Stegostoma tigrinum: one gene and its partner. The protein of the gene in region 1 purifies or fractionates together with the protein of each later gene. This does not show direct contact. Links are inferred from orthologs where the notes say so. Each region holds a gene or a part of one and is shown in the gene's direction. Other genes may lie near its edges.

What was found.
Region 2: the proteins of microtubule cross-linking factor 1 (region 1) and mark2b purify together in Homo sapiens (affinity purification with mass spectrometry; 5 studies listed by BioGRID and IntAct, with this or other methods). This does not show direct contact. The link is inferred for Stegostoma tigrinum from reciprocal best matches to the Homo sapiens genes MTCL1 and MARK2.

What each region holds. Positions count from the first base shown.
Region 1 is NC_081358.1:113,967,430-113,974,798, forward strand, and holds the start of microtubule cross-linking factor 1, read left to right. Parts: upstream 1-4,329; 5' UTR 4,330-4,628; coding exon 4,629-5,567; intron 5,568-7,369. UniProt on the Homo sapiens protein: Microtubule-associated factor involved in the late phase of epithelial polarization and microtubule dynamics regulation.
Region 2 is NC_081395.1:2,405,063-2,412,998, forward strand, and holds the start of mark2b (serine/threonine-protein kinase MARK2), read left to right. Parts: upstream 1-4,753; 5' UTR 4,754-4,886; exon of another isoform or gene 4,887-5,424; 5' UTR 5,425-5,431; coding exon 5,432-5,476; intron 5,477-7,936. Other genes in the region: dual specificity protein phosphatase 10-like, read right to left, coding at 3,346-3,496, 4,428-4,753. UniProt on the Homo sapiens protein: Serine/threonine-protein kinase. Involved in cell polarity and microtubule dynamics regulation. Phosphorylates CRTC2/TORC2, DCX, HDAC7, KIF13B, MAP2, MAP4 and RAB11FIP2. Phosphorylates the microtubule-associated protein MAPT/TAU.

The sequences.
Region 1 (7,369 bases):
CCTTCACATTACTGATGTCTCCACTAAGGGGAAAAGATCAGATGCCATGAGTTCATATCTCAGTTTTGCACGATAAAACCTCCATGATACCCACAACCAGTGCTGTAACTTCCAGTGGAAGGAGCTATCAATTGGACAGAAGGCCAACGTGGAAAGAATCTCTTGGGTATATGAGATCACACTTGGTGTCACATTAGGATTTTACAGATCAACCCCATTGCAATAATGTGTAGGAATGGTTTTCACACAATTTAATGTTCATGTATTACCTGATGAGCTAAACATCATGATGTATATCCAGGTTAAGTCTTAGGACTTGTGTTTTACACATTTTTCTGCTGGGCCATCTTGAACAATTAGTTCAGTGTCCTTTTATCACCACAACCTCCTTTTCAATGGTGAGCTAAACCTTTAACAGCAGCTATATCACTCCACTTTGCTCTCCCCTGCCCCGTATGCTATTTATTTAAAGTATCTACGGAGGTCCATTGTGAAATTTTGTTCTGGCCATGCATTTAATGCTAGTCTATTATGAAATTTTGCAACATTAATTTTGTTATGAATACAAAATTAAATCATACGGTTGTTCTAATAATGAAGCAGTAGCACAACAATGGCCATTACTCAGCAAAAGGAAATTTGTATGTATTCAAGTGACACTTAATGCATATACAAGCGAATTTCACTGCAGCGTGAATTTCTTCCAGGAGTTCAGACGATGACCCTAAAAGGACACAAAGGGCCTCAAAATATATTGAGTGTTTATATTGGAAAGCAGACAGCTAAGATGTGATTTTCCATTGCATTGCAATTTACAATCAGTGTATAAATATGCACAAGTGTAAAAATAAAATTGTTTTAGATTCTTAGAGTTCTAAATCTGCTTTGCATGGAGATCTGTTAGCTGAGCCACAATTGTCAAATGTCACCAAATCCAAAGCAGAATTTAATAAATTAACTTTTAAAAAAACCTAACTTGAGGACATTACCTAGATAATTCTGCGCCCTCATCTTTCAGCTGCACATGCTCCTAGATCTCCATATCAAGTTCCTGTTGGGTTTTGCAGCTATTTAGTCTGGTTTTGACATTTTGAGTGTAAACCACAAATAAAGTTGACTGCACCATGTCCCAGAAACAAAGATTACAAACCTTGAAAACTCTGGCATGGAATTTGGATAGGTACAGGCTGTGGTTTCATCTGTTGAACAATGATCGTAGCAGCAGGGAATATTGAGGGAGTGTTATAGATGCTGCCTTTTGGACAAGAGGTTGAAATGAAGGTTTTGTCTTCCTGGTCTTCTGGGTGTCCTCAACATGGTCCTGCTATTTTGAAGAAGAGCTAGGAAGTGCTTCCCAGTGTTTTGGCCAATATTTATCCCTCAACCAACATTGGCAGTGGACTGGTTATCCACAGTCCCAGACTAATGTTCTGTAGATATCGGTTTGAAGCCTGCGTTGGCAGATGTTTAAATTTGACCTCAATTTTAAATATTTTGGAATCAAAAATAGCTTATATAATGGCAACCTTGTAGCATTTGCCAATTTTCACAAAAACCCACCTGGCTCACTGACATGTCTTGGGGAAGAAAATCTACTGTCCTTACCTAGTCTGGCTTACATGTGACTTCAGACCCACAGCAATGTGGCTGACTCTTAACTGCCCTCTGAAATAGCCGAGCAAGTTACTCAGAACGAGTGCATTTATTGTTGTGCTTACAGCCCCGGAACAAATATTTTACAAATATGTTTATTACCACATTGGTCTTTGCAGGAAATTGCAGTGTTCAGACTGTCTGTTGTGTTTCCTACACTACAATAGTAATCTCACTTTAAAAGTAAGATTACAAAGTGTGGGGCTGGATGAACACAGCAGGCCAAGCAGCATCTTAAGATGCTGCTTGGCCTGCTGTGTTCATCCAGCCACACACTTTGTTATCTTGGATTCTCCAGCATCTGCAGTTCCCATTATCTCCGATCATTTTAAAAGTACTTGGGTGTGACAATGTGGTAATGTCACATTTCTAGTAATCCACAGCCCTGACTGGGACCCCAGTGCAAATCCCACAATGGTACTTAAGATTCAGTTAAGCAGTAATGTAATATTTACAGAAACATTGAAGTGTAGAAAAAGACCCTTCAGCCCATTGAGTCCATGCAGATTAAAAGCAAGCACCCAACTCTCCATTATGGGCCATCTTAAGGATTAAAAATGCAGAGACTTGGTTTCAAATTTAAGTGAGTTAGAGCTTGCTAGTTTTTTTGTTGTATTATGGCCAGATGTGTTTACAAAGAAGGCTTAAACATTTGACTTTTCCAAGAGACTTGTAGAATAAGAAGATCCTGAAGTTGTTATGGAGACAGTTGCTTGAGGATGGAGGAACTGCTTTTCAACAGTCAGTAAATATAGGAAGGTTGATCAAACTCTGTCTGTTGCTTATTTAACTTTAGAGATGCCTATTCTTGGACCTGAGGTTGTATTGGTACCTTTGATATTCAATTTATATTCCTTATAAGGCACGCAGCCTGAGGGATTTTACAGTTTTTAGCTGCTCTAGGTACCATGGCTGAAACGTATAGGTAATGTGGACCTTTCCCCATTGCACCTCTCTTGCAGCTGCCAAAAGCTTTAGTGCTCATTGTATCCCTACAGTGTGGGAGCAGGCCATTCAGACCACCAAGCCCATACTGCCAATCCCACCCATTCTTGTCCCATAACCCTGCAGTTCCCATGGCTAAACCATCTAACTCACGTATCCTTGGACACTATGGGCAATTTAGCACAGCCAATCTACCTAAACTGCGCATCTTTGGACTGTGAGAGGAAATTGGAGCACCCAGCAGAAACCCACACAGACACGGGGAGAATGTACAAACTTCACACAGACAGTTACCTGAGGGTAGAGTGCAGCCCAGGTCCCTGGCAATGTGAGGCAGCAGTGCTAACGACTGGTGCTAGATCCTTAGATCAGTCTGCAGCACTCATTTGAGGATGAGTGTTTGCTCCAGAAAATCAGCAAGTTTTAGGCAGATCAAAGAGCATTTTTCGCGGAGTTGATGATCCTCGGGGCACAATGGATGATTGTCACGATGTGTGACCTGGGAACAGCATGGACAGCACAAGAGCTTTGCATTATGGAACTGTGGGCATGAACCTCGACAACAACCATACACCTCCCTTCAGACTGTCTTTGCACGCAGGTCACTTTGCAGGCACTGTGTGTGAACTCTACCCTACGTGTTGAGAAGCTCATCAGCAGGAGAATGAAAGGATTCCGCCTGTCTGAACATTGCAAGCCTGGTAATTATTGGATAGCATGATACTGCCTGCCTCACTTTGAAAGGGTGTGGTTTAATCATTCATCATGGTCCCCTGGCTATTGTCAGGAGCCATCAAATGTACCCCATCACATGGTTACAGTTGCAGACTCTTGTTGTGGGTATTCTTGGGGCATTGTATAATTTCCTGCTTTATATAAAGAACTGAAGTGTATCCAAGGTCGAGATTAGGTATGCTCAAGTCTCAGAAACCCTTTTTTAAAAAATTCAGTGCAGGAATCGGGGGTTATGGGATAAAAGGCAGGAAAATGGAGTTGAGGATTTCCAGATCAACCGTGATCTCAGCGTATAGCGGAATGTACTCGATGGGCTGAATGGCTTACTTCTGCCGTGGTCTTATGCATCTACATAGGGCTAATTCACGACCACTGGCAACTCATTGGTGTCCAACAAAGTATTTTTGGAGAGCAGTAACCAATACAACGTGGGAACCCAGGATGTGAGTTTGCAGAGAACAAACTCGCGCAGAGAACCTGTCATTGTGACCGTAACTGAGGGATTTAAATTGCCCAGGGTAAAAGGGAGGGCGTTCAAAAAATGTGTTAAAAATTATTTCTTTAAAATGTGATTTTTTTTCTCTCTCTCTCCTGAATTGCAAGTGGCTTGCAGATCAATTTTAATTAATCCTGGAATGATTGGCTGCCCTTAATGATGGCTCTTATCAAAACAAACCATAGACGGCTCTCCTGCAACAAACAAAATATTCAAGATTCAGTTTCACGCATATAAACAGCAAGCGGTTTGTTCCTTGGATTTAAACGCACGCACAGCGATGCAAAACTGCTGCCTGTGTTTACTACATCAGATCTGGCTGCTGATACCCGCTTTACACAGAGGGGTCTGGCTTGGATAGACACGCATGCGTTCAGCTACTGCCGTCAGGCGAGGCTGCAGCTTTTTTTTATTTTTTTCTCTCTCTCCGTCTTAATCAGGTCGGGAGCAGAGAGAGACGGGGGGGCGGGGAGGAGGAAGGAAAAGGGGGGAGAGGGGGAAAGCCAGCTATGGAGGAAACCTAAACCCATAAGCAGAGAAAGGGAGAGATTTCGCTACATTAGGCACCAGGATCGGGGGAAATAGAGAGGGCAAGGAAATGGCCATTCATTTCCATTTGCAAATTTCTGGGCTGGTGTGTGCCGGGTTTTAAATACAATTGGATCCGGGCTTGAGAGGGGAGGTGGGGGTGAGAATCACAATAACTGAAGGAGGAGTGATGCCCACAGAAAGGGAGAGAGGGGTAGCCGGTGTGTTTTTGCAAGGCTGCTCGGCGGAGACTGCAGGATCTTAAGAGGGGATGGAGACGGTCAATGGGAGCCCTGAGATCCGGCAGCAACAGCAGCAGTGCGTGGAGAAGAAGCGGTTGAATAGAGCTCCTTCCCCGGCCAGACCCCTGAAGGATCTTCACTGCCGAGCGTCCTCCGCTGCTAAGCTCTGCCTGCCTCCCAAACCCGGGGTTTTGCCGCCGCCTTCGTCCCCGACCCTTCCTCTCTCCAAACCTCAGCTGCAGCCCCCACATCAGCAACAGGTCCCCGGGCTGCAGTTGGCTGCTCACAGCCGACTCACCCGGAGGAGCGGAGTCCTGGGGGGCACTAAGGACAAAGCCTCGGCCGGGGGGAAAGCGGGTGTCCCCTCTGCCAAGTCTCCTCTGTCCGCCCCCCACTTAGCCAAGAGGCTTTCCAACTCCAAGGGACACCAGGAGAAAGGCAGACACCACCATCAGGAGCCACAGCACCAGCTCAGAAAAGTCAAGAAATGCCTCCTGATCGAGCCCAGCCCCGGGCTGTCACCAACGACAGCGACCCAGGCTCCGGCCCCGTCTCCCCTCGCCAAGACCAGCCACACCGACAGCAGCTCCGATCTGTCCGACTGCGCTTCCGAGCCTCTGTCCGACGAGCAGCGGCCGGCCCCCGGGGAGCTGGCCACCACCAGCGACGCCGAGTCCGGTACCGGCTCCAGCGACGCCGAGAACGGGAGGAGATGCCGAGAGAGCCAGCAGCAGGCAGCCGCCGGAGCGCCGCTTACCCCCGAGCAGCAGCAGCGCCCGTCCCCGGGTAAAGGCGGCAATGGCACTGACGGGGAACACGGGCCCAGGGCCGCCCAAGCCAGGCAAGAGCCGCGGGCTGGTAAGCTCTCCGGCCCGGCCGCTGAGACTCAGGAAAGCGCTGGGAGGTCGCTGCACCAGGAGCTGCTCAGAGAGATTGAGGAGCTCCGCTCGGAAAACGACTATCTTAAGGTGAGACAGAGATAGTGACAGTGCTCACTGCCGCTAACATTACCTTTCTGTGTCTCCTCTCTCCTACATCATTTCTTACCACCAAAACCCTCCCATTTATAACATTTGATTATTGCATTTATCTCTCCGGTGTCACTAAGATTATTTGATATGTTTATTTTATATGATTGCGTTTTGCCTTTTAGTTCCTTCAGTGTTACCACTAACCGTCCCCTTCATGATTTCCCCACTTCGACTTGAACATGATCTGGAGTTCTGAGGAAGGGTCAACAGACCCGAAATCTCAGCTCTGTTTTCCCCTTCACAGAAGCTGCCAGACCCGCTGAGCTTTTCCAGCAGCTTTGTTTTTGTTCCTGATTTTGAGCTTAGTCCGCTAATTATTTTTAAGATGTATGATCCTCAACGACAGTAGTTTTAAATCTCGTCCCTTTCCAAACGAAGACGTACGATCTGCCAATCATGATCTTAAATTTACTCCCTTTTTAAATTGAATATTCTTCCCTCGTATACGATGCCCAATTACAGTTTTAAATTTCGTCCTTTTTTAAAGAAAAAATTATGATAAATGATCTCAATCTTAAATTTGGTCCGCTTTAGTTGAAGATTCCCTCATATATGATCGCCAATTGCAAGTTTAAATTTGGTGCCGTTTTTAATGATACATACGGTACACATCTTATTTTGTTCAGAAGACCCATTCATTTGGGATCTCTCCGTCCTCAGTTTGATTAGAACGGAATCCTCTTCATTATTTTACAATAATGTCGGAGCGTTGCTTGCAGGCTGTAAAATATTTGTCGGGGGGGGGGGCAAAGTGTTTTGTTTTAATCTGCTGAGAATACAGTTCGGTGAGAAATAGAGTTCATGAGTAGTGTGCTTCGCTCTGCCCCTCCACTCGGCGCTTCTGTTTATTTTTAACGCTGCGGGGTCTGGTTTCAAAGAGAACCATTTATCCTGTCACATTCACACAGATTCGAAATGAGCCAACGGGAGATGTCTGGCGGATTGAGGGCTGGCTGTGAAGAGAGCGTCACAGAGCTCTGGTTGGATAACCACTTTTCTGACTCGCTTCTTAAAAGATAGCGGTTGCCGGGCGGATAAATAATAAGCATTTTGGGTGGTTTTTTTCTCTCTGAAGGAGGGCCTTGAGCAAAAAAAAGCAGTTGGAGGTAGTTTTACATAATGAGCATTTTTTGAATGTTGGAATGAATGGTGAGGCACACACATACGCGCAGACCCTCATCCTAATGGGGACACCCAATGTGTGCATGTTGCAAACGGTGCAACAAAAACAAAGTTATTGGAAAAGCTCAGATAACAAGGGCTGGATGAACACAGCAGGCCAAGCAGCATCATAGGAGCAGGAAAGGCTGACGTTTCGGGCCTAGACCCTTCTTCATTTCTTCACCACCCTACCCCCCGCCCCGCTCCTTGACCTGACTCAACCTGTCCATTTTCTCTCCTACCGATCTGCAACTCCCACCTCACTTAACAATCCCCACTACTACCTACCTGCAGTGACCATCCCACCTACCTTTCCCAGCCCAAAACCCCCCTCTCTATTTATTTCAGAGCCCTCTTCCCTTCTCCCATTTCTGAAGAAGGGTCCTCACCTGCTCCTTTGATGCTGCCTGGCCTGCTGTGCTCCTGCAGCTCCATGCTGTGTTATGTTTATTAGCATACCAAGTAATGATGCTCCTTTGAAGAGCTAGTGCAGAGATGATTGGCTAAATAGCCTGTTCTACACCATAACATGTTTTGATTCTATGAAATCAAGATGGTCTTTGGCTTGGAGGGGAATT
Region 2 (7,936 bases), on another chromosome or scaffold:
CTCTTCATCTCTGCCTTAGATGGGCAATTGCTGATTTTTAAATAGTTGCCCTTCATCCTGCATTATCCCAGAAGAACAATAATCTTCCCTACACCCACCTTATCATCAGCTAAAATCAATTATTTCTTGTTGTACGTAGATACAAACTCACCTCACACTGAGACAGCGTACACAGCCTAACCTCATGCTGAGACAGTGTACATTGCCCTACATCACACTGAGACAGTGTACATTGCCCTACATCACACTTCCAGGGAGATTCCCAGGACTGGGCTGATTTTTACTGGGAAGCTTCCTAGGAGAGGGTTTGCATTTACTGGAGGACTCCCTGGGAGTGGGTCTGCGTTTACAGGGAGTGGGCCATCCTTTCTATGTTAAACCTGCAATTTGACACAGTCATCATGCTACAACCTGATCAATGACTAATGAAGGTTTGGCATATATTTGTCAAGTAACTGGAGTTAAAAATAAAATCTTATTTGGAGACACAAATGAGTGAAATTTGTGGCCTTCTTGATGGTGCGTCAGTGGATTATTTGAAATCTGGAAAGTCTTTGAAGGTATAGAATCAATTTTATACTTTCTAATTAAGCAGTTCCATGATGTTATTACACACCTCTGGAGCAGATGGGACTTGAACCTGAGTCTTGGAGACAGTAAGGACTATAGATGCTGGAAGCCACAGTTTAAAGGTGAGGCTGGAAAAGCGCAGCAGGTCAGACTTGGGAGGCGGAGCCCAGAAATAAGTAGAGGGAGGCGGTGGGAGTGGAGGAAGTGTAGGAGAGATGGTGATATGTAGGTGCAGGTGGTGGGGTATTGTGGTTGGTCTGTGGGAAAGGGGAGAGTTGGTGAGTAGGAAGGTGGACAGGTTAGGTCAGGTCAGGAGGTGGAGGTCTGGATAGGGACTGAGGCTGGGGTTGGAGGGATTTTCTGGCTGGTGAAGTCAATGTTAAGGCCATTGCATCACCCTCCAAAATTTCCGCCACCTACATTCAGACCCCACCACCAAAATGTTATTTCCCTCCCCTCCTCTGTCCACAGGGACCATTCATTCCGTGATCCCCTCATCAGCTCTATACACCTCACCAATTCCTCTAACACACCCAGTACCTTTCCCTGCAGCTGCAGGAGATTAACACCTGCCCCCACATCTCCCCTCTCACCTCCATTCAAGGTCCAAAACAATCCTTCCAGATCCAGCAGGGATTCACCTGCACTTCATCCAACCTTATCTATTGCATCCATTGTACCCGATGTGGCCTCCCCTTTATTGGGGAGACCAAACGAAGACTCAGTTCTCCCAGCCATATCACATATCCAGCTCTACCCCTCCTGACCTGACCTAACCTGTCCATCTTCTACTCACCTATCCATTCCACCTTTCCCACGGACCAATCACAATAGCCCCCTACCTGCATCCACCTATCACTAATCTATCCTACCCTTCCCCCAGCATCATCACCCTCCCTTCATTTCTGGGATCTCCTCCCCCTCCTCAGTCCTGATGAAAGATTTTGGTCTGAAACATTGACTTATCTCCTCCTTAGATGCTGTCTGACCAGCTGTGCTTTTCCAGCCTCGCGCCTACAGACTCTTGAACCTGGGTCTCCTTGGCTCAGAGGTAGAGACATAGCATTGAACTACAAGTACACTAAAATCAATTTTTAGTTTTATCTTCTAATCAAGCTGTTCAGCAATGTTGTTACAGACCTCTGTAGCAGATGGGACTGTGACCTTATAGAAATGATATAAAATCATGAGGGGCATGGATAGAGTAAAATAGCCGAGGGTAGGTAAGTCCAAAACTAGAGGGGCATATATTTAAGGTGAGAGGGGAAAGATTTAAAAGGGCCCTAAGGAGGCCCTTTTTCACATGGAGGGTGTTGTGTGTATGGAACGAGCTGCCAGAGGAAGTGATGGGGTCTGGTACAGTTACAGCATTTAAAAGGCATCTGGATGTGTAAATGAATAGGAAGGGTTTAAAGGGAAGTGGGCCAATGTTGGCAAATGGGACTAGATTTATTTAGGAATATGTGGTCAGCATGGACAAGTTGAACTATACAGCGTGACTCCTTGTTCAGAGATAGGGACGTTACCACTGCATTACAAGTGCACTCGAATCAATCTTTAACACATTATTTGCACATTGCATGTGGCTGTGTCCAGTTCTGTTGATTTTATAACTGTTTAGCCCATGGTGTTGATGGGATTAAGAACAGCCAAATTAGAAATTTGCCATTTATTCGCCAAGTGAACAACTTCATTGCTACATCCAACAGTTTATATCTGGGTTCCATTCTCAATTTTGAATGAAAAAGTGTTACAAAGAATTGGAGTACTGGATAGTATGCGTACACATAAGATTTAAACAAAGATAAATGCCGAACATTTAATATTTCCCACTTGTGAGAAGAATAACAGATTCTATATTTATAACTGTCCTGTGTAAAATTTCAGTTGTCCCTGATGACACATTCTAGGCCTGCAGTTATGCTGTGGGCCCTGGTGATCCTTCCTGAAACAGACCACATCCTCAAAAATTCAGACTTCAAAGACAACAGCAAACAGCATTCAGAGCAGAGAACAGTAGCTCCTACCTGATTGCAGTGAGAGATCGGCTGAGTGTCAAAAGTTACCAATTTCAGCCCGGCCAATGATGAGGACACTTAACAAATTGATTGATATTGAAAGATAAACCTTTTCTCATGACACAACCCATGAAGCAGTTATCTGGTTACCCTCCTGGCTGTATTGTACGCCAAAGAATTAGCTGATTTGTATATAGTACCCATTCTCAAATGGCAATGTGCTTTCGACTTTTGCTTGCAGAAGGGACTAGGTCCCAGTTTACTTCTGCCTCTATAAATTCTATTCTTTTAATTAATTCATTCATAAGATGTGGACATTGCTGGCTGGCCAGGATTTATTGTCCATCCCAAGTTGTCCCTTGAGAAGGTGGTGGTGAGTTGCCTTCTTGATCCACTGCAGTCCTTGTGATGTGGGACACCCGCATTGCTGTCAGGGAGTGGGTTTTAACCCAGCAACTCTGCATGATTGGTAGCTTCTTACTAGCGCTTGTAGCCATGGTATTTATAGGGCTCATTCTGATCAGGATGTTTAGAATAAGAGATACAGAGATGGTCATAACATTGAACGTCAAGAGGGAATGGTTTGATACTCTCTTATTGAAGATGGTCATTGCCTGGCAGTTGTGTGGCATGAATATTACTTGCCAATTAACAACTGTAAATTGTCCAGTTCTAGTTGCATTTGGATGTGGATTGCTTCAGTTTCTGAGGAGTCAAGAAAGTTGAATTTTGTGAAATCATCAGTGAACATACTTACTTCTGTCCGGGTGGAGGCAAGGCCATTTATGAAGCAGCTGGAGTCAACATCCAACTTTTTAATACTGTAATTAAAACGGTTGATCTGGCCATGGGCAGATTGCCATTTGTGAGATCTTGCTGTGCATAAATTTGCTGCCAGTTTTCTTACACTACAAAAGAGATCATACTTCAAAAAGTACTTCATTGGCTGTAAGGGACATCTGAGGACCTGAAACGCTTTTCTGATTCATTCTGTTCCAAGAGGAGACCAAACTGTCTATTCAATCTGATAAGAAAGATGAAGTCATTCAGCAGCTGTCCCATTGCAGACAGAGAGATACACAACTGCTGGTGAACTTTTATAAACCTTGCAGTGCAGAAGTAGGCCATCAGGGCCACAGCACCCCTCCAAACAACATCCCATCCAATCTCCAGAACCCAACATTTCCCATGTACCTAACCTGCACACTATGGGCAATTTAACATGGTCAATCCACCCTAACTTGCAAATTTTTGGACTGTGGGAGGAAACTGGAGCACCCAGAGGAAACTCACACATACACTGGGAGAATGTGCAAACTCCACACAGACAGTCACCAAAGGGTGGAATCAAACCAGCATACCTGGTGCTGTGAGGCAGCAGTGCTAACCACTAAGCCACCATGCCACTCCAGAGGGAAACAGTAAGGAGGAGAATTCTTCATGGCAACCTCAAACCGGTGTAAGAATTGAACCCACATTGTTGGCATCATTCTGTGTTACAAACTGAGCTATAATAGCAGTGGACTGCTAAGGCTGGAGATAATGATCTGATCCTCACCCCAAGATATCCCCGATGGGTTTGCAGGGTCACATCTCTCAAGTGCTCCATCCCCGGTCCCTTCCAGTCCTGCTCACTGCACCATTCTCCTCCTCCTCATAATGATCTGATCCTCACCCCAAGATATCCCCCATGGGTTTGCAGGGTCACATCTCTCAAGTGCTCCATCCCCGGTCCCTTCCAGTCCTGCTCACTGCACCATTCTCCTCCTCCTCATTTAACTGCACTTTTGTTTCTTTTTGTATGTTCCCGCCACCCTCTTTCCATCCTCCATCCCTTGCCAATTCCCCTTCAGTAGTGACATGAAGGGCATGCTCCGGGTCCCACGACGGCAGAAAAGACCGATAATCTCCGGAACAAGCCGAAAGCTGCGCTCGGGCTCCGAAAAGTGCCGAGAAGCACCGAAGGCGCTCCCCGGAAATGGGAGCCCGCGTCTGACGTAGAATTTCTCCGGAAATGACCGAAGATTCCCGAACGCGCACACCCCTCCCTCCCTGGGAAGGACGGGATGGCGGAAATCGCCGAGAGCGGTTAGGACGTGCAGGGCAGTAAGGAATCGTGGGGAGGAGGAGACGGCGGAATCGCCGAGGATTGCCGAAGCGGCCATCTTGCCGGGCTCGGGCAGTGAGAGGGAGAGTGGGGTTCCGGCTTTCTCGTCAGAGGCGAAAGTCCGGGCGCCGCCGGACACCGAGAGGGAGAGAGAGGCGGGGGTTGTCAATAGCAATAACCGGGGCAGGAGGGTGAGGAGGAGGGTAGTGGAGGGAAAGAAGCGGGTGAAAGTAAAATACAAATACCCGGGGCGTTTATTCGTGTTTTATGCCCCCGCCGCCCCGAAACCCCTGACCCCACAACTTTGCGGAGAGCCCCCACCCCGGGCCCCTAGAGGCCCTGAAGCCTCGGGGCTTGAGTGAAGAATAAGCCTGGCTGCGCCTCAGCTCCGCCGGTGATCACCGCAAATGTGAGGACGGACACCCCCCCCCCCCCAAACACCCAGCCGGAACTTTTATTTTAACTTTATTTGTTAATTTTAATGACCTCTATACGATTTCTTTTCTGCTGGAGTCTCTTCCCCGTCAGCACCTACCTCGCACCCTAACCCCCCTCCCCCCCCCCTCCCCCATTCTGCTGCTGATCAGTTTAAACTAGTTTGTTTTAGGGGCAGTTGGATGACACTCTTCGCTGCAAATATTCTCTAGATTTCCTTCCCTTTTATTTTAATTTAAAAGTTTTTGTTTCCTCTGTGTGTGTGTGTGTGTGTGGGCGGGCTCCCTTTCAAAGTCCAGAGATGACCACCAGAACACCATTGCCTCCAGTCAATGAGTCTGATCAGGTAAGTCCCTCCACACCTTACTGATCATTTAACCTCTCTCTCCAGTGTATTTTCTAGAAGTTGGTTGGTTTTGTGATTTATATTCACTAACTTAATTTTACTGTCACCAACTGGGTTTTGGGGTAAGGTCGTATATGTTGTTGTATTGGGGGTGTACCCCATGTTTACCCCTTCCCTGTAACTTTATTTTGCCACTGTCTTGTTTCTGTCATTACCTTTTAGATATCATTTCCTGGGAGTGTATTAAGTATTTGGAGGGGGGTCTCTGCTTCCCTCCTGTGTCCTCCACCTCGTATGTTTGATTCAGCTGAACATGGGACATTGAAGGTGTTGTTTGGTCCTTTGTAAATAATATTGATGGATTTTGTGCCTCAGTTCTCTGCCCCTTTTTGTCTTGAATTGGGCACCCCTCAACTGAGAGAGTGAGCAGGTTTGGGGGCAGTTGGGCGTGAGTGTGGAACCTCAAGTGTACCTTGATGTGTGTGGACCATGCATAGTTTTTGAGATCTGAAGTAAAAATGGAAAGCACTTGAGGAACTCAGCAGGTCTGGCAGCAACTGTGGAATAGAGTTAATGCTTTGCGTCCAATATGACTGCTCTCATAAACTGTTTGATGGTTTGTGGACAAGTGAGTGTTGTGGTTGAAGGCTTGGGAGAAGGGGGAGTGTTGCGTAGTTTCAGTTGAATTCTGAGAGAACTCATGGGAAGTGTGCATTGTCTCCCAAGTATTTTCTGTTACTGTTGGTAGCAGCATCTCTGTACAGTTTATGATGTAGAATCATTGTCTTGTACAATTCAGTGCATTTTAAAAAATAAACAAAGAGCGTTGATGTTTTATGAGTCATAAGTGAAAGTTGTTGTACCCTGCTCCCCTATCCGGGTGAATGTGGTCAAGCCGGAAGCACTATGTTTACATGTTTTATTTTGGTCAGTTGAATCTATTACTGAGCTAGTCTCTCGGGATGGGAAAGCAGTTTGAATGCTACAAGCAGACACAAAACAGACAAGCCTGGCTTGGTATTTCTCTTCCTTGGCAGCATTAATTAGTACAGTGTGTCCTCCAGGAAAAGGTACCTGGGTTTCCTTTTCAGTCTGAACAAAATCCACCACTGCTCTCCCTATAACTCTTTATTCCTCTAGTTAATGGCACTGGCAAGTAAGTACAAAAAAGCAAACTGCAGAATTTGCCCTGATTTCTTGGTTTTTCCCCATCTCCCAGACAGTAGCTGATTGCCTATTGCACAATGAACCTCTGATCTTCCTGGCCTGTGTAGTTTACTGCTTTCTCATTCAGTGTATCTTCCAGACCAGGGGTGAAGAGCTGGCAGAGTTTGATAATGTCTGGTTGGAACTGACTGAAATAAGACTGTTTGTTACCGAGTTCCAAATAGAATTAAAATATTCTATTGTACGTCACGGTAGAGATGGGTTCCCCATCAGGTGGATAATATTCAGTAGCCATACTCAGTGTATGACAAGTGTATTCCTCACTTTATAGCCTCACTGCTAACAGTCAATTGAACTGTTTTGGGAAGAGATCTGTGGAAATATATAGAACATTACAACACAGTACAGGTCCTTCGGCCCTCGATGTGCCGACCTGTCATACCGATCTGACGCCCATCTAACCTACACTATTCCATGTACATCCATATTCTTGTCCAATGATGACTTAAATGTACTTAAAGTTGTACTGGCAGGAAGAAAGTGCATTTATAGAATATATTTGGTAATGTCAGGACATCCCCCAAGTGTTTTACAACGAGTCAGGGCCTTTTGTTTGAAATGTAGCCTGTATTGTATGTTGGAACTGCAGTATTTGATCTATACACAACAGGATTCTCGGAATGAGGTGAATGAGCAGATCCTGTGACTTTGGTGCTGAATGAGCGATAGATATTGGTCAGAAAAATTGAAGATTGTTGCCTCCCTTCAGGGAGGTGCCTTGTGACGTCCCCTATCTGTCCTGTGAGGTCTTAGGTCAAAAGGCTGGGAGAGATGAAACTTTCCCCTCAGTATTACGGGTGCAGCGTCAAAATTCTGGCCTGTACAGCCCTCTGGTTTTGGTGGAACACAAGATGTGTAGAAAAAGTCCAATCGCAATGATGCAAGGAGGCCATTCAGCCCTTTGCGTACTGCTGACAGTTTGAAATATCTATAGATTTCTTTTCCTATTAGCTTGCATGGTTTCCTTTTCAAATCCTCTTTTGAAAGTTCCTTTTGAATTTGCTTTCTCTTCTTTCGAGCAGTATGTTTCTGATTACAGCACCTTTTTGCTTCAAAAAAAAAGTTCTCCATATCTCAATAAAAACCAAAAGAACTGCGGATGCTGTAAATCAGGACCAAAAACAAAGTTGCTGGCAAACCTCAGCAGGTCTGGCAGAATCTGTGAAGGAATAATGTTTCAGGTCTGGTAACCCTTCCTCGGAACCTGTCACTGGACCCGAAATGTTAACTCTG